2 linked regions of the Cricetulus griseus genome follow. The protein of the gene in region 1 purifies or fractionates together with the protein of each later gene. This does not show direct contact. Links are inferred from orthologs where the notes say so. Each region holds a gene or a part of one and is shown in the gene's direction. Other genes may lie near its edges.

Region 1 (7,942 bases):
ACCACCTGAAGAAAAACTCACCTGTTATTGCCAGTATTTTTGTCAGGCATTGTGTCTCACACCTGAAATCCTAGAACTCAGTCAGGGGGATTGCTGTAAATTGAGGCTGGCTGGACTTCATAGTGAATTACAGTTACCTCAGGCTATGAGTGAAACTGTCTAAAGAAAACCCCCCAAATCCAACACAAAACTCCCAATCCAAAAATGGGCAATATTTTCCTGCTTTAAACAGAGATGAATTAACTGGCCAGAAACAAGTTAAAATGGAAAAGAGCTAAAAGCAAGCATTTCTCCTGAGGGCTTGGTAAATTTTACACACTGGTTGGCTTTCGTTTTAATTCAGTAATCATAATTTTTTTCTTTCTTTTTTTTTTTGAGACAGGGTCTCTATGTAGCACTGGCTGTCCTGGAACAGACTAGCTTTGAGTCCACAAAGCTTCACCTGCCTTTGCATCCTGAATGCTGGGATTAAGGATCTGTGCCCCCTACCACTATCAGTAATCTTACTTTTATTTGGTAATTCTTGTGAAGCCTATGGTTAGGCAGTTTTTAACATTTTAATTTTTCAGTTTTTTTTTTTTTCTCAATAGCTTGGTAATCTCTTCATGAAAAATTTAATACAACCCAAAGACTAAATGAAGAAAAAATCCCCTAATCATATTGTATTCCCAGGCAGATAAAAAGTTTTATTTTTTGGGCTGGAGAGATGGCTCAGAGGTTAAGAGCATTGGCTGCTCTTTCAGAGGTCCTGAGTTCAATTCCCAGCAACCGCATGGTGGCTCGCAACCATCCATTATGAGATCTGGTGCCCTCTTCTGGTGTGCAGATATACATGGAAGCAGAATGTTGTATACATAAAAAATAAACAAAATCTTTAAAAAAAAGTTTTATTTTTCAATAGGGCTTACTTTTACCTTGGTATTTAGAGAATTTAAATATTACTCAACGCCTGAGTTTTATTTGCACTGTTGTTAGCCAAACATTTCCCCCATCATTAACCACAGGAGTAGGAAGTGAGTATAAATCCAGTATTTAGCATCTGTCTTAGCCTGAAGGTCAGTGAAAGCCAAGGTTCTCACGGACAAAGTGGTTTTTGGAAGGACCAAAGTGAAGATGACACAGAATCGGTGGTCCACCTCGAGAACCTTGATGTTCCTGTTTTAAGATGAAAAGTACATTTATTTCCAGAATTATGACTACTAGCACAAAAGGGTTTCTCTCTCTCTCTCTCTTTTTAAATACGAATGTTTAAAAGAAATAAAAACCGCATGGGGAGTCAGCAATGGCAAAGGGCTATCGAGCCCTGAGTTGGTTCCCCCCCCCCCAGCTCTGCAGAAACAGACCAGCAAACAAGAAACCTCAACAAAAATAAACACAAACCTAAACAATTGCATGAAAATATGTGGAATCTTGTTCTTGAAAATACAAGTGACGGAGACTCATGCTCAATCTTGTATACTATGAATTCCAAAAAAATTTGGCTATTTTGGGGGTGTTATTCTTTAGCGAGGTTTTAAGTGCAAGTCCCATTTCCAAATAACACGTGATCCTGTCCTCATCTCTAACTTTATACATAAGTGGCATAACTTATCGGGTTTTAAAATTCCATCAAGGCACCAAGAGCGTTTTATCTACGTCACAGGGGCCTGGGCTTGAGATTAAGAATGAGGTGTTATGATCACGATGCATTGTAAGACATGGACGAAGCTGCCAAGGAATAGAAATATTCTTAAAAAAAGGAAAACTATAGAACTCCGTTTGCCTTTTCTCGGAGACCGACGGGGGCTTTGGGTCTGCATGGACTTGGTGCTCAGGAGCTCTGCGTGCCCCCGGCTCCAGCACCGGCGCGCCCAGAGGAAGCCCAGATGAAGAGCGCAGGTAAGCAAACACGCTCCTTTAAACTTGGTTTTGGAGACAGGGTCTCTTGCCGCCCGGGCTGATGATTTCCAACCGGACGCAGACGACCTTGGGCTTCTGATCCTCCGGCCTCCACTTCTTCCGGAATACGGGGATTAAGGCCCGCGCTGCACACAGGGGTCGGGCCCGGGGCTGCGTGCCTGCCGGCTGGCACTGTACCAGGCGAGCCGCGCGGGAGCGCTGGGACAGACGTCTCTTTCAGAGCGCTTGCTCCCAGCAGAGCCTACGTACCGCCGCCGCCGCCGCCGCCGCCGGGGTTCAGCGGGATCCTGGCGGCCTCCTCAGGCAGCCCCGGGGCAGCGCACGTCCGCCCGTCTCCGGAGGGCGGCGCCACGCCGCCGGGCTTGCGGCTCTCGGAGAGTCGTCTCCTCAGCCGGGCTCTGACGCGCGGCCGTCGAGTCACGGCCTTGTCCCGGGAGCGACGCCATCTTGTCGCCCCCGTCCTCCTCAGCGGCTCGCGGTGCCAGGCTCCCGGCTTCTTCGCCCCGCGGCTCCCACCACGCGGTGGAGGAGGAGCGCGGGCCGCCGGCCACGCCTCCCGAGCTCGCAGCCGCGCGCTGGGCGGGGCCGGCCTCCGAGGCCCGTGGCCTCCGGGCGAGGCCTGCGCCTGCGCCACCAGCCCCTCCTCTTCCTCCTCCTCCGCCTCCTCCTCTTCCTCCGCCCGCCGCCGCCCCGGGCCCGGCCGCGGCCCGGCGCCGCCTCTTCCGCCTTCCGCGTCCGCGCGGGCGGGCCCGACGTCAGCGCCGCCCCGCCCGGCCCAGCCTCGGCCTCGGCCTCGCAGCGCGGCGGCGGCGCAGGTCCCTCCCCAGACATGGCCCTGGGAGGTGGCAGCACATGGCGGCCGAGGTGGCCGTGAGCGCGCCCCGGCCAGCCCCAGCCCGCCCTGAGGCTGCCCGCGCCCGCCGGCCGCGCCACGGCCCCGCCGCCCCCCGCCCCGCCGCCGCCGGCCCCGCCGCCGCCGCCGCCGCCCGCGCGCGCCCGCCGCCGCCGCCGCTGCCGCCGCCGCCGCCGCCGCCGCAGCCATGGGCGTGCAGGGCTTCCAGGACTACATCGAGAAGCACTGTCCGAGCGCCGTGGTGCCGGTGGAGCTGCAGAAGCTGGCCCGGGGCAGTCTGGTGGGCGGCGGGCGGCAGCGGCCCCCGCAGACCCCGCTGCGCCTGCTGGTGGATGCCGACAACTGCCTGCACCGCCTGTACGGTGGCTTCTATACCGACTGGGTGAGCGGCGGCCAGTGGAACCACATGCTCGGCTACCTGGCGGCTCTGGCCAAGGCCTGCTTCGGCGGCAACATCGAGCTCTTCGTCTTCTTCAACGGCGCGCTCGAGAAGGCCCGGTTGCACGAGTGGGTCAAGCGGCAGGGCAACGAGCGCCAGACGGCGCAGCAGATCGTCAGCCATGTCCAGAACAAGGGCACGCCACCGCCCAAGGTCTGGTTCCTGCCACCGGTCTGCATGGCCCACTGCATCCGCCTGGCGCTCATCCGCTTCCACGTCAAGGTGCGGCTGGGGTCGGCGGGCCCGGGGTCCCTCAGGGGTGGACCTGGGGTCCCTTTGGGCCCGAGTCAGGGTCGTGCCTGGTGCCCCTTAGACTGGAATCCCTTCGGGCTGGGGTCAGGGTTGGGGTCTGGGGTCACTTGGGCAGGGGTCAGGGTTGAGCTACTGGCCTCTTGGTGCTTGTGTTTGGGCTGGGCCTGGAGTTGATTGGGTAGGGGTCGGAGTTGAGTCTGAGGTCCCTTGGGCCAGGGTCAGAATTGGGCCCGGGGTCCCTTGGGCCAGGGTTCAAGGCTTGGCCTCGGGTCACTTCGGGCTTGGGTTTGAGTTGGGCCTGTGGGGTCCTTTTGGGCCAGTGTCAGGGCTGGACTAGTTCCGGGAAGCCCAGTCTGACCCAGGATAAGTCTTGGGTGCCCCTGCCTGTGGAAGGCCAGGGGAGCAGGCCTCAGTATCTCTCAGGGGCCCTCTCGGGACACAGGGTGTCACCATGCTCAGGCTCGACTCGAGCTCCGCAGAGGGGGCCTGGAGCAAGATGGATGGCGGGCCCTTTAGGCCCGGTGTGGTTGAAGTCCGCCCACAGCCATCCCTCTGCACTTTCTCTTTGGTCTGCTGTGTACCAGTAGACTTGTGTATGAGACACTTGAGGCTGGGGGACAGACCCAAGTGGGGTTGGTGGTGTCATCCCCAACATCCTCAGTCTCTTCCCCTCCTTTTGGGGGCTGGCAGGCTACCCGCTGGTCTTAGACTTAATTTGTATGCATCAGTCGAAATTAACCCGCTCTTTCCCAGCAACAGGTTTGTCGTGGAAGTCTGTAGAATAAACAGTGACAGTGGATCGCCAGGGCCTTAGGGACAAGCAGCTCAAAATAGATTGTCTCCAAAGCTGTGGGAGGTGAACTTTGTGTAGAGGCTCTTGCTGCTTTCTGATTCTCAGAGTAGATGCCCCCACTCCTCTGCCTTTGGAAATGAAATGTTTGGAGAAACTGCCCATGGTAAAATTTTGGTGTTAGATTTCAGTGTATTGTTGAGATGGGTCCCTGTTAGTTCTGTGGTTCAATTCTGTGTTTCTGGTCTGAGTGTACTAGTTCAGAATCAGGAAGAATTTTGGGGGTCGTTTGGCATAGGCACCAGCTTTCAAGAGCTGTTTTTCTGCTGCACAGGAAGCGTTCAGTGACCTTCAGTGGGCCCTGATGGGTGGGTAAGGAGAGCTGCACATTGTCAGCCTTCTGCTGTCTGTCCCTTTGGCAGAAGGCTCAGCAGCCAAAATTGGGCCAGAGGAGAACTTAAGGGCCCAGCACTTGACTGAAAGCTGAGCACCTAGCTGATCCTCAAAAGTCTGGATAGCTTGCATTTTCATGTTTTCTTTAAAACACTTATTTTCAGGGGCAAGGGGGATGAGGCTGTTTTGAGTTTTTACACTTGTCACTGTCTTCCAACTTGTTCTTTTGTTTGGAAACTGAGCTTGAGTTGAAAGTTTTAGACTGTTTCCCTCTTCCTGGTCATCCCTGCTGGCAGTGATGAGATGGTGGTAGTTAAACCTAAACTGATTGCGGAAGTCCCACCCAGGGTCCTGTTGCAATTGGTGAACTTGTGTTTAAGTCTGTGGGTGGAGGCAGATGGAAGAGTGGTGATTGGCCCAGGAGGGTGGCAGATACACGGCGTGTCATTTCTCAGCTAGTTAGTATGAGAGGCTGTGTGTGTGCCTCTCACTTTTTCTCTGTAGCCTGGGGCTCTTGGGAGGGGAAAGTGGAGCCCTTCCTCTCTGATTCACCTCTGGTGGACAGCCTGAAAAGGTCCTGGCTTAATGCTGTTTGGTGATGGGAAGTGACATTTAAGACACAGTGAGCTTTATTATCTGCTTTTGCTAACAGCACTGGGCTGTATCTTTAGTCAGCCAACATTCAAGAAAACATCGAATATTCAGATTAGAATCTCTGTGTGTGTGCAAATGCTTGTGTGTGCTTTTGCCATTTTTGCAAGAAATGTTTGATTCTTCTAAAGTGTAATTTTTTTTTTAAAGGCAGGATCTCACTTTATAGTCTTGACCTGCCTGTAACTCTCTATGTAGAGAGTTCTATGCCTCGAACTCACAGAGGTCCACTTGCCACTGCCTCTGCCTCCTGAGGCTGAGATTTAAAGGACACCATATCTGTCTAATTGTAACATCTTTGGGCCCTTGTGAATGCCTCCCATACCTAGTAGGTACTTGGGATTTTGATCAATGTAGTGTGTGAAGCTAGACTGGAGACAATCTAGATGTGCTTGGTGGGGCATGCCTGTCGCACAGTACTTGGCAAGTTGAGGCAGGAGGATCCTGAGTTTGAGGCTAGCGCATGGGCTTCAGGGTGAGAACCTGTGGTCTTCTTAGCAACCTCACCTTTTTGAAAAATGCCTACAAGATTGAGCTTTTAGAAATGTCTTAGCAACCAAGCAAGATGTCAAGAACCTTGGGTACAATGACAGGAGAATAGTGTTGTCTTTCCTGCCTGAAGGATCCGGGACCTTTGTGCTCTCGCTCAGCCTGCTCCAGCCTTTCCAGATATAGCTGTAGCAACCCCAGTTGTCCATATCCTTAACTCCATTTGAGGAGAGAGAGGTTGAAGAAGAAAGTCTGCTGGAGGCAGGAGCACCATTAATAGCAAAAAGTGACACCAGAGAGAAGATGTGAAACTGCAGAAAGCAGGCGGAATTCTGGGAGCTATTTTTAACCAAGAAAACAATCCCGTGGACTTGGTATCCCTGAGGGTACTGCAGTATTTATTCTATGAGGATGACTTTGAGGGGCTGGCAGATGGCTTAGCTGTTAAGAGCACTTGTTCTTACAGGGGACCTGGATTTGATTCCCAGCATCCTCATAGTGGTTCCCAACTATCTACAACTCCAGTTCCAGAGGATCAGAAGCCTCTTCTGAGTTCCACAGGCACCAGGTGTGAATGCAGTGCGCAGACATACAAGCAGGCAAAACATTCATACACATCAATACTCTAAAAATAATTTTTAAAAAAGTAATAATGTATGGTGCATGTTTTAAAAAGGATGTTTTTGAGTCATAAAAATTACCTTTCCTGTTCTCTGTTTAACTGTTTGTTGTGTGTGTGTGTGTGTGTGTGTGTGTGTGTGTGTATGGGTGTTCTGCCTGCATGTATGTCTGTACACATCTTTTGTGCCTGGTATCTGCAGAGGTTAGGGCATTGGATTTTCTGGAATTGAAATTACAGAAGGTTGTGAACCACTATGTGGTTGCTGGGAATTGAACTGGGTCCTCTGGAAGAGCAGCCAGTGTTCATCACTGAGCCTTTTCTCTAGTGGCAGTTTCTTAATAAGTGTACATGTTCTAGCAAATCCCACTAATGGGTATTTTTCTTAATGAAACTTTATTCTCATAAGCACTAGCATTTGCTCTGAGAATATAACCAGTGGGTAGAGCATTGCCTCGTGTGTGGAGTCCAGGAGTCCATGGCCAGCACTGTATAAACTGGACATAGTGGCATACACCTCTGGCCTCAGTATTTGGGAGGTAAAAGCAGGAGGATAAGAAGTTCGGGGCTAACTGCAGCTGAATAGCAGTTAGAGACTAGCCTAGGCTCCATAAGACTCTGTCTTGGAAAAAAACAAAACAAAAAACCCCAAGTAATAGGTGGCTCAGTTGGTAATGCCTGCTGCACAAACAGGAGAATCTGATGTAGGACCATAGCAGCCATAGAAGAAGGTGAGCATGACAGTGTGCAGCTGTAACCCTGGTGTGCAGCGTGGACATGGGGGCAGTGTGCAGCTGTAACCCCAGTGCTGCGCAGTGGACATGGGAAGATCCCTAGGGCTTGCTGGCCAGTAAGCGCCATGTTCAGTGAGAAACCCTTTCTCACAAAGGTAGAAAGTACTTGAGGAAGATGCCCGTTGTCAGCATCTGACTTACACCCCCCCACACGCACTTCTCAGTGTGCTTCTCTTTATAGGACTTTCTCTGAAAGAGAAAGCCACAGGGATGGGAGTCTAGGAAGTGGCTGTGAAAGTCAGGAGAGGACTACTTTTTTAAAAAGGTAGATATTGGTAAAGAAATTGTCTTGAACACCTATGCACATTATATAAAAACACTTGTTACAAAAATATTAAAAACCATCTTTTTCACTTTTTTTTTTTGAGACAGGGTTTCTCTGTGTAGCTTTGGAGCCTATCCTGACACTCACTCTGGAGACCAGGCTGGCCTTGAACTCACAGACATTCGCCTGCCTCTGCCTCCTGAGTGCTGGGATTAATAATGCGCCACCAACACCCGGCCTATTTCACTTTTTCTAGTGTTTTTTTCAAATTGGATGGATATCTTTTATTTATTCTTTGACAGTTTCATACATATAAACCATCCCTTTTGGTCATCTCCATCTCTATCTTCCCCTTCCCTACTCTACTACCTTTTCTAGTGTTTTATAAATTGACAGAAAGCTATACTTTCCTGTCATTTTTATTTAGAGAATGCGTCTTTGCTAGAGTAATAACTATGTTTTTAAATTACATTTAAATTTATTTTGTGGTGTGGCACA
Region 2 (7,371 bases), on another chromosome or scaffold:
TAGTTCTGTGTTGAAGTTTAGTAAGGAGTGGGTGAAGGTGTTTTCTTGTCATTGCTTCTTTATGCTTGTAGACTACTACAGTACTGCAAAGTAGGGGCGATAGATGTGATCAAAACACATTGGATACATGTATGAAATTCTCAGAGATAAATTAAAAATGTATTTCTAAAAAGAATACAACAAAATACAGTGTCTTTGTTCAGTATAGTACATTTTAAATATCCTTTACAAAATGTTTACATGAATTTTTAATGTATGATTTACTTTTGTGTGTGTGTGTGTGTGTGTGTGTGTATGTATGTATGTATATAGTTGGGGAACAACAATCTGAATTTTCAAGTTTTGACAAGAGTGACAGCAGAAGTCAGGAAGCTATCTCTAAACGCCTGTCAGTTGTCTCAAGAGTCCCCTTCACGGAAGAACAGCTCTTCAGCATTTTTGACATAGTCCCAGGACTGGAGTATTGTGAGGTTCAGCGAGATCCTTATTCGAATTATGGTAAAATAATTGTTTTGCTGTTAAGTTTACTGTGTTTTATTAAAGTAGTTTTTACCCATGACACATCCTTATACTGTTTATGTTGCAGGAAGTTTATATTTTATGTTTTCTAGTTTTTTTAATTCTTTTGATAACAAACATGTTGCTTGTACAGTGATTATTTTTACAATGCCATTTTGTTCAGGTATATCATGTACTTTAAGCTCATTGCTACCTATTACCCTCTCCTGTTCCTTTTTTCCTACCTTATATTTAAAATCCAAAGATACCTTAATAAATAAATTCCCAAGAATGTATAAATAAATACATTCCTTATAAATGCCATTCACCTAAAAATAACTCACAAAATAAAGGACTCTATATCGCATTGTACAACAACAGTGCCTCGGGCTAGGGTCTGTTTTTTCCCTTTGGATTAATGCTAGCAAAATTATAAAATGCTTGCCGTTTCTTGCTCATTCATCTGCAAGTCTTTTTCTTAAACTGTCTTGCCTTTTAAGTGCTCTGCATCTCTGTGCATTCTCAGATTTGCAGTAGAAGCAATGTGTATTAGTTACAACCAAGACATTCCCCACTGGCATGTCAGTAAGTATTCTGAGCCAGGCAGTACCTTAGCTGAGGTTCCCCCTCCCCAGGTGACTCTATGTTGTGTCAAGTTGATAATAAAAAGTAATCTGTACATACAATTTGATTTACACAAGAATATGATTTTGTGTTTTTCCCCAAAGTGGGTTATGAAAACCTTCTGGTTGTGTCACAGGCTCCTAGGCTCAAAGATAAAACCTCCCCACCCCTCAGGGCCGCCTCTTTAATTGAAAGCTATCCCCAGAGCTGGAATCTTAACAAAGGAATGTGAAATGGGCAACTTGCAGCCTAAGACCCTGTCACCATCCTGCTGTTTTTCCTATGTACCACCTCCTCCGCTCTTCCAACTACTGAGTATACAGTATAGTAGGGAAAACTCCCAATTTCAAAGAATTAAGAGTTTCAGTTTTTGTGTATATTGATGTTCTGTAAGAAAATTTAAGCTGGGCCTGGTGGTGAGTGCCTGTAGTCCCAGTCCTCACTGGGACGCAGAGGTAGTGGAATTGCAAGTTAAAGGCCAATGGCTTGGTCTATATAGTGAGATCCCGCTAAGAAAAAGGGATGGGGGGGGGAATCTTAAAATTCAATTCATTAGATGGAATATATGCTGATACTACATTTTCATAAAGTACTATGTTTCTGTTTTACCAAGATTTGACTTACACTTCACTGCCTACAAATAATGTTGTGTATGTACTTAACAGAGCTTTGTTCTCTGCTCTTTGATTTTGTATTTGCTAGTTGTGTGATAATAACCAAAGTTCAGTATTTTTTGCCTTCAAGTACATTATAACTCAGGCCTTAAAGACACCTCCATCTACTGCCTTTTCCATTTCTGTATAGGTCATGGTGTGGTTCAGTATTTTAATGTAGCATCTGCTGTTTATGCAAAATACAAATTGCATGGATTCCAGTACCCCCCTGGGAATCGGATAGGTGTTTCCTTCCTGGATGACGGAAGTAATTCGGCAGAGTAAGTACCATTCCAGGAATGTCCTAGCCAAGCTGTGGCTTGAAGAATAAAAATAAACAGTTAACCTCAGGTGAGCAAGTCATTTCCAACAAACTACTATTAAGATGCTGAATATTTCTAATTTTCTGTAAGTTGTCGATTGTTGTTTCCAGTCTCATCAGAAAAATGGCCACACAGATGGTGGCGTCCCAGCTCGCATCAATGGTGTGGAGTAACCCAAGTCAGCAGCAGCAGTTTCTGGTAAGTAGGTAAAAGTGTGACCTCTGTAATACAGGAAACAAATAATACGGCATTTGTTGATTACTGAAGAAAGAACATTTTCATAGCTGTTGTAAAAGACCACATGGGTGCTGGGACACACTTTCAGCTGTTGGCTCCAAGTCCCTGAAGAACAATCTTATCTCTCTCCCTTTGTGCCTAACTCTTCCACAGCAATTTGGAGGAAGTTCTGGGTCACAGTTGCCTCAAATCCAGACAGATGTTGTACTTCCATCCTGCAAAAAGAAAGCCCCTCCCGAAACGCCTGTGAAAGAAAGACTTTTTATCGTGTTTAACCCTCATCCATTACCATTAGACGTGTTGGAGGATATATTCTGGTAAGATTCACTTCTACAAAGCTACACCTTGGTAGCTGTAAACAATGCACTTAAGCAAGGAACCGCCATCCTCATGATCCTGCCACTGAGAGATGACCTGTTCTGAGGTTTGCAAGACTCCTTATTGATCTTTTCAATTTATGGTCATTTCCCTTGTCAGGCACATATCCTAACCTCTACACAGAATTTCCCAGGTTTGTTGTTGTGTTTGCTTTTGTGTTTTGAGACATAAGACATGCAGGATGGTTTTTAAAAGCTGCAGGTGTGGAATGACAAATCACTTGTCTCTTAGGAGTAGATCCATTTACATAAACCTGTCTTCACATTCCATTTCCTTCATGTCGTAATACAGTCCAACAGTTTACTAAATGCCTTACATTTGCCTGGCACTCGGTTAGATCCTGAGGATTATGTCAAATAGAGCAAATCACTTGGCTATAGGGGATAATATAAAGGAAAGAGGAGGAAAAAATTTTACCTATTTTTTATTTTAATATAACTTTTTATGACTACCCTAGCTTTTTTTTTTTTTTTTTTTAACCCTACCTGGTTTTTGTTTGTTTTGTTTTTTGGTTTTTTTTGTTTTGGGGTTTTGGTTTTTGTTTTTGTTTTGACATTTTCCTTTTGCCTACTAAGAATATTAATGAGTTAAGCAAGTTAGAAACATGTTAAATATCCACTCAGAATATCAGGCGTGTGGTGATAGTATGCTGGCCTTTATATAACTGATTAATTTAGCTAAAGGTTTTGTTTTATTTTGCTCTTGAGCTACTTCTCTGTGCTAGGCAGCCACTGGGCTGGAGTGCTAAAGTATGATATAAACAAAACTGTTTATTACATTAACAAGACATTAAGTATACAGAGCAGCAGTGGTACCACAGAAATTCTGAGATTTCTCTTTTAAGCAAGGTTTTGATAGGACCTGCAGGATAAACCTAGTTTTGCCAGAGGAGAAGGTTGGGGTGTGTTATTGTTTTGTTTAAAAAGAAGAAAAGAGAAATTTCTGAGACATGAGACTTAAGACTATAAGTTTATTATAAGGCCCGAATGGGGAGACTAAGAAGAGGAACAGGGGTAAATGGCTGACCGCCATGGCCGGTCGCCATAGAGAGACAGAGCGGGGAAACAGAGACGGGAGAGCACACAGAGAGAGAGACAGACAGAGAGAGCGTAAAGGGGCAGGGGCTTATCTTTTAAAGGGGTCCTCTGCACCTGCGTGCAGACTTCTTTCCCATGGAACCTTGGGCTGACCAGGGTATTGCCTGAGTGGATTCCACCAGGTAACAGGGGCAGGCCAGAATAATGCCTGAACCTTTCAGAGTGTAGTTTGAGTTTTGGAGGTTTTGTTTGTTTTCCTGCCAGAGGAATATAAAAAGAGATTGTTTGGAAGCAGACTTAGAGATTGTGTGTGTGGGGGGGGGGGGGTGTCCAAAGCTGGAGAAGCCAGTGACTGTCCTGTAAGCTAAGTTCATTCTTACTTGGGAGGTGAGGTGAGACTATTGTTAGAGGGAGGAACAGATAAAGATGCGGTTGGTGAGGAAGGAGGCCTGGAGAGCTAAGAGAATAGCTGAAGGAGCTGTTTCGCAGTACCTGGCAAGCAGTTAGATGTTGGCCATAGACAGGCATTGGGAAAGAATCTAGACCCGTGTTTAGAATGTACTGAGAGCATCCATCTGTCTCTGATGCTTTCTTTGTTTTTTTTACTTTGTTCCAGTCGTTTTGGTAACCTGATAGAAGTTTACCTTGTGTCAGGAAAAAATGTGGGCTACGTCAAGTATGCAGATAGAATGAGCGCCAACGATGCAATCTCAACCCTGCATGGGAAAATTCTGAATGGAGTCCGACTGAAAGTCATGCTGGCAGACTCGCCACGAGAAGAACCCAAAAAGAGGCAGAGAACTTACTGAGTCTCGGTAAGTGTGTCTTCCCCACTAGCGAAGGAGTATAACAGGAATGTCTGTAAGTACTTTACTTGTGAGCTTTCCTTGGGGGACTCTAGTTACAACCTTGTTGGCTTAAACCTTAGGAAAGCCAGGTTGTTTTTTTGTTTTTTTGTTTGTTTGTTTTTAATTTAAAAAATTTGTTTAAACTCGGGACTGGGGAGATGGCGCAGCAGCTATGGGCTTGCTGCTCTTCCAGAGGACATATGTCAGGCTTCCCGTAACCACCTGTATGTACCTAAAGCTCTAGAGCAATCCAATGCCTCTTCTGAACTCTAAGCACATTCTGTCATGTCTACATACCCACAGACAGACACCTAAATCCATACACATAAATAATAAAATGTGCCTTTAAAAAGTAATCTCCGACTTCTTACTAATGAAAAACAGTGTGAAATAATATATATTTTTGGAACTTTTAAACCTAAATATTGGTGTCTTTCTGAACTCAACTCAATCTTCTATGTCTTTGGTGGGTTTCTCTATGAATTAAAGGGATACATCATCTTTAGATTTTTTTACTCTAATGAATTCTGAGTTTTAGGGACAATCCATTTCCTGTTTCCTACACTCATCATGCTCCCAGCCTTGCTCTATGTCAGGTGTATCCAATTCTGACTGCTACTAGGAGCTAGTAACTGTCAGATTTAATCCTGTAGGTCTGGCCACTGTAGACCCTTCTTTTGTAAAGCAAAGGAAGTCATTTGTTCCTCCTTTTTAGGAGTCATGTGACAGGGGAAATGCCCTCTGGGCCCATAGAAATAATCCTACTTTAAAAATGCTTTTAAATGTTTTATTTAATGACAGAATCCACACCCATTACACTAAACAGTTGGCAGTTTAGCTCTAAACCAGTGAAAGAGAATTAACAACTAATTGTTATTAATTTAACTCTGTTTAAGTGAACAGTCCTTTAAAGTATTCTGCAAAAATTACACTTACCCCTGTGTCTAAATATTTTAGCTTATAGGTTGACAATTACTGCTTTTGTTCAGGGGATCTTTGCCCTTTCAAGGGGTAGTAATATTAACTTCCTAGTACAGAAAAATGTGCAAAGTACTCTCGTGGTTGAGCCTTTTCTAATGATAATTTACATTTTAGAGGGAATTATTGGCTTATAATCTCAGCACTCAGGAGACTGGAGCAGAAATACTGACTGAGGGTAATGTGAATCCATGGGGAAGCATGGGAGAGAGTGTGAATGAGCATGAAGCAGAAGGTTTGGACTAGATCCACCTCTGATTCTTAAATCTGCATAGATCCATTCACTTTTTGGAAGCATGGTTTTTTGCTAGGTTTCTTGTAAGGTACAGAGACAGCAGAATTCCTGATAAAATGAAAGAAAGGCTTTGTAAATGTGAACAAAATCTCATATTTATGGATTTAGTAGAGCCTTTCAGATGTCATCTCATCCAGTGGTCAGTAAAAGCTTGATGGTGCACAACTACCTCCCTACCAGCTCGCTTTAAAATATGGCAGCTTCACCTTCATAGTGCTGTGCATTCCTCTGGCTTCCTAATTAAAGAAACTGCACAGTTTTCAGCATGGCTAGCAATCAAAGTGTAAATATGTCCCTTTCCCATTATGGAATTTTGATACATAGTCAGGGCAGAGATCAACTTGAAAATTGTGACTTGGTTACAATAGAAATTGTATATAATTTAGATGTTTTCTAATTGCACCATGACAATTATTTTTGCAGTACATCCTCCTGTTTATCTTAGATATCACAGTGAGATTTTCTACCTTTGGGGGTACATTTAGTAATTATATTGGCCAAGTTCATTGACCTGAACCTCTAGTTGCATTTCTTAGGAGACTGAAGCAGGAGACCCATAAATTCAAGAGCTTAAGGCGAGCCTGGAAGACTTAATGACACCCTATCTCAGAAAATTAATTAACTTTTCTTAAGGTTCAACTTAGTACTATGATAGACCTCTCATATTTTACATGATTGTGACAGGACTAATTTCTTTGGTGTGCTTGGTACAATGGCTCTTTTTTTTTTCAAATTAGGAACAAGCTTGCTTCAGATGTCAATCCCTTCTCCCTCTCCCTCCCCCCCCCCAACATCCCACCTGCCCCTAGCCATCCCCCCTCCACTCCCCAGGCAGGGTAAGGCCCTCAAAAGGGGCTCCCCAAAGTCTACCACATCATCCTGGGCCAGGCCTAGGCCCTTCCCCATGAGTCCAGGTCAAGAGAGCATCCCTTCACATGGTATGGGCTCTCAAAATCTTTTTTTTTTTTTAAGACCTTACATATTTAATACAGTGCGTAACCCAGTACAAATGGAAAAAAATTAAGTTCAACATTTCTAGACTAATATGGCTGTTAATTTTTGTACTATGCCAACTCAACACGGTAAACTGGGATACTTTTCTCCAAAGTTGACAGCACAGCTAAAGTTTCCAAAAATTTAAATTATATATATATATATATATATATATATATATATATTAAAAGACCAATAATGGCAGTATGTTATGCATCAATAGCAGCAACAGCTTTTCCAGGTTCTGCAGTCATTTGAACAAAAGGTACAATGGCTCTTGAATGCTGGTTGCTTTTGTTTCTGAGGAATAAGCCTGGGACTAAATGACCGACACCTAAGAAATAAACTGGTCAAGAGTCAATAGTGAAAGTAGTTGAGCTCTATTTTGAGATGAGTCTTGTGTTTATAATATATTTCTCTTTCTATTTGAGGAAAATAGAAATTTTAATATTTCACAGCATCTGGTTTTAAGTTAATTCACAGAACTTTCCCTCTAGAAATCCAGTA

Evidence for each region.
Region 2: the proteins of Fam120a (region 1) and Rbm45 purify together in Homo sapiens (co-immunoprecipitation; 3 studies listed by BioGRID and IntAct, with this or other methods). This does not show direct contact. The link is inferred for Cricetulus griseus from reciprocal best matches to the Homo sapiens genes FAM120A and RBM45.

What each region holds. Positions count from the first base shown.
Region 1 is NC_048596.1:268,761,178-268,769,119, reverse strand, and holds the start of Fam120a (constitutive coactivator of PPAR-gamma-like protein 1), read left to right. Parts: upstream 1-2,899; 5' UTR 2,900-2,939; coding exon 2,940-3,413; intron 3,414-7,942. UniProt on the Homo sapiens protein: Component of the oxidative stress-induced survival signaling. May regulate the activation of SRC family protein kinases. May act as a scaffolding protein enabling SRC family protein kinases to phosphorylate and activate PI3-kinase.
Region 2 is NC_048599.1:98,652,209-98,659,579, reverse strand, and holds part of Rbm45 (RNA-binding protein 45), read left to right. Parts: intron 1-312; coding exon 313-498; intron 499-1,926; coding exon 1,927-2,056; intron 2,057-2,208; coding exon 2,209-2,296; intron 2,297-2,488; coding exon 2,489-2,652; intron 2,653-4,366; coding exon 4,367-4,559; 3' UTR 4,560-4,565; intron 4,566-7,371. UniProt on the Homo sapiens protein: RNA-binding protein with binding specificity for poly(C). May play an important role in neural development.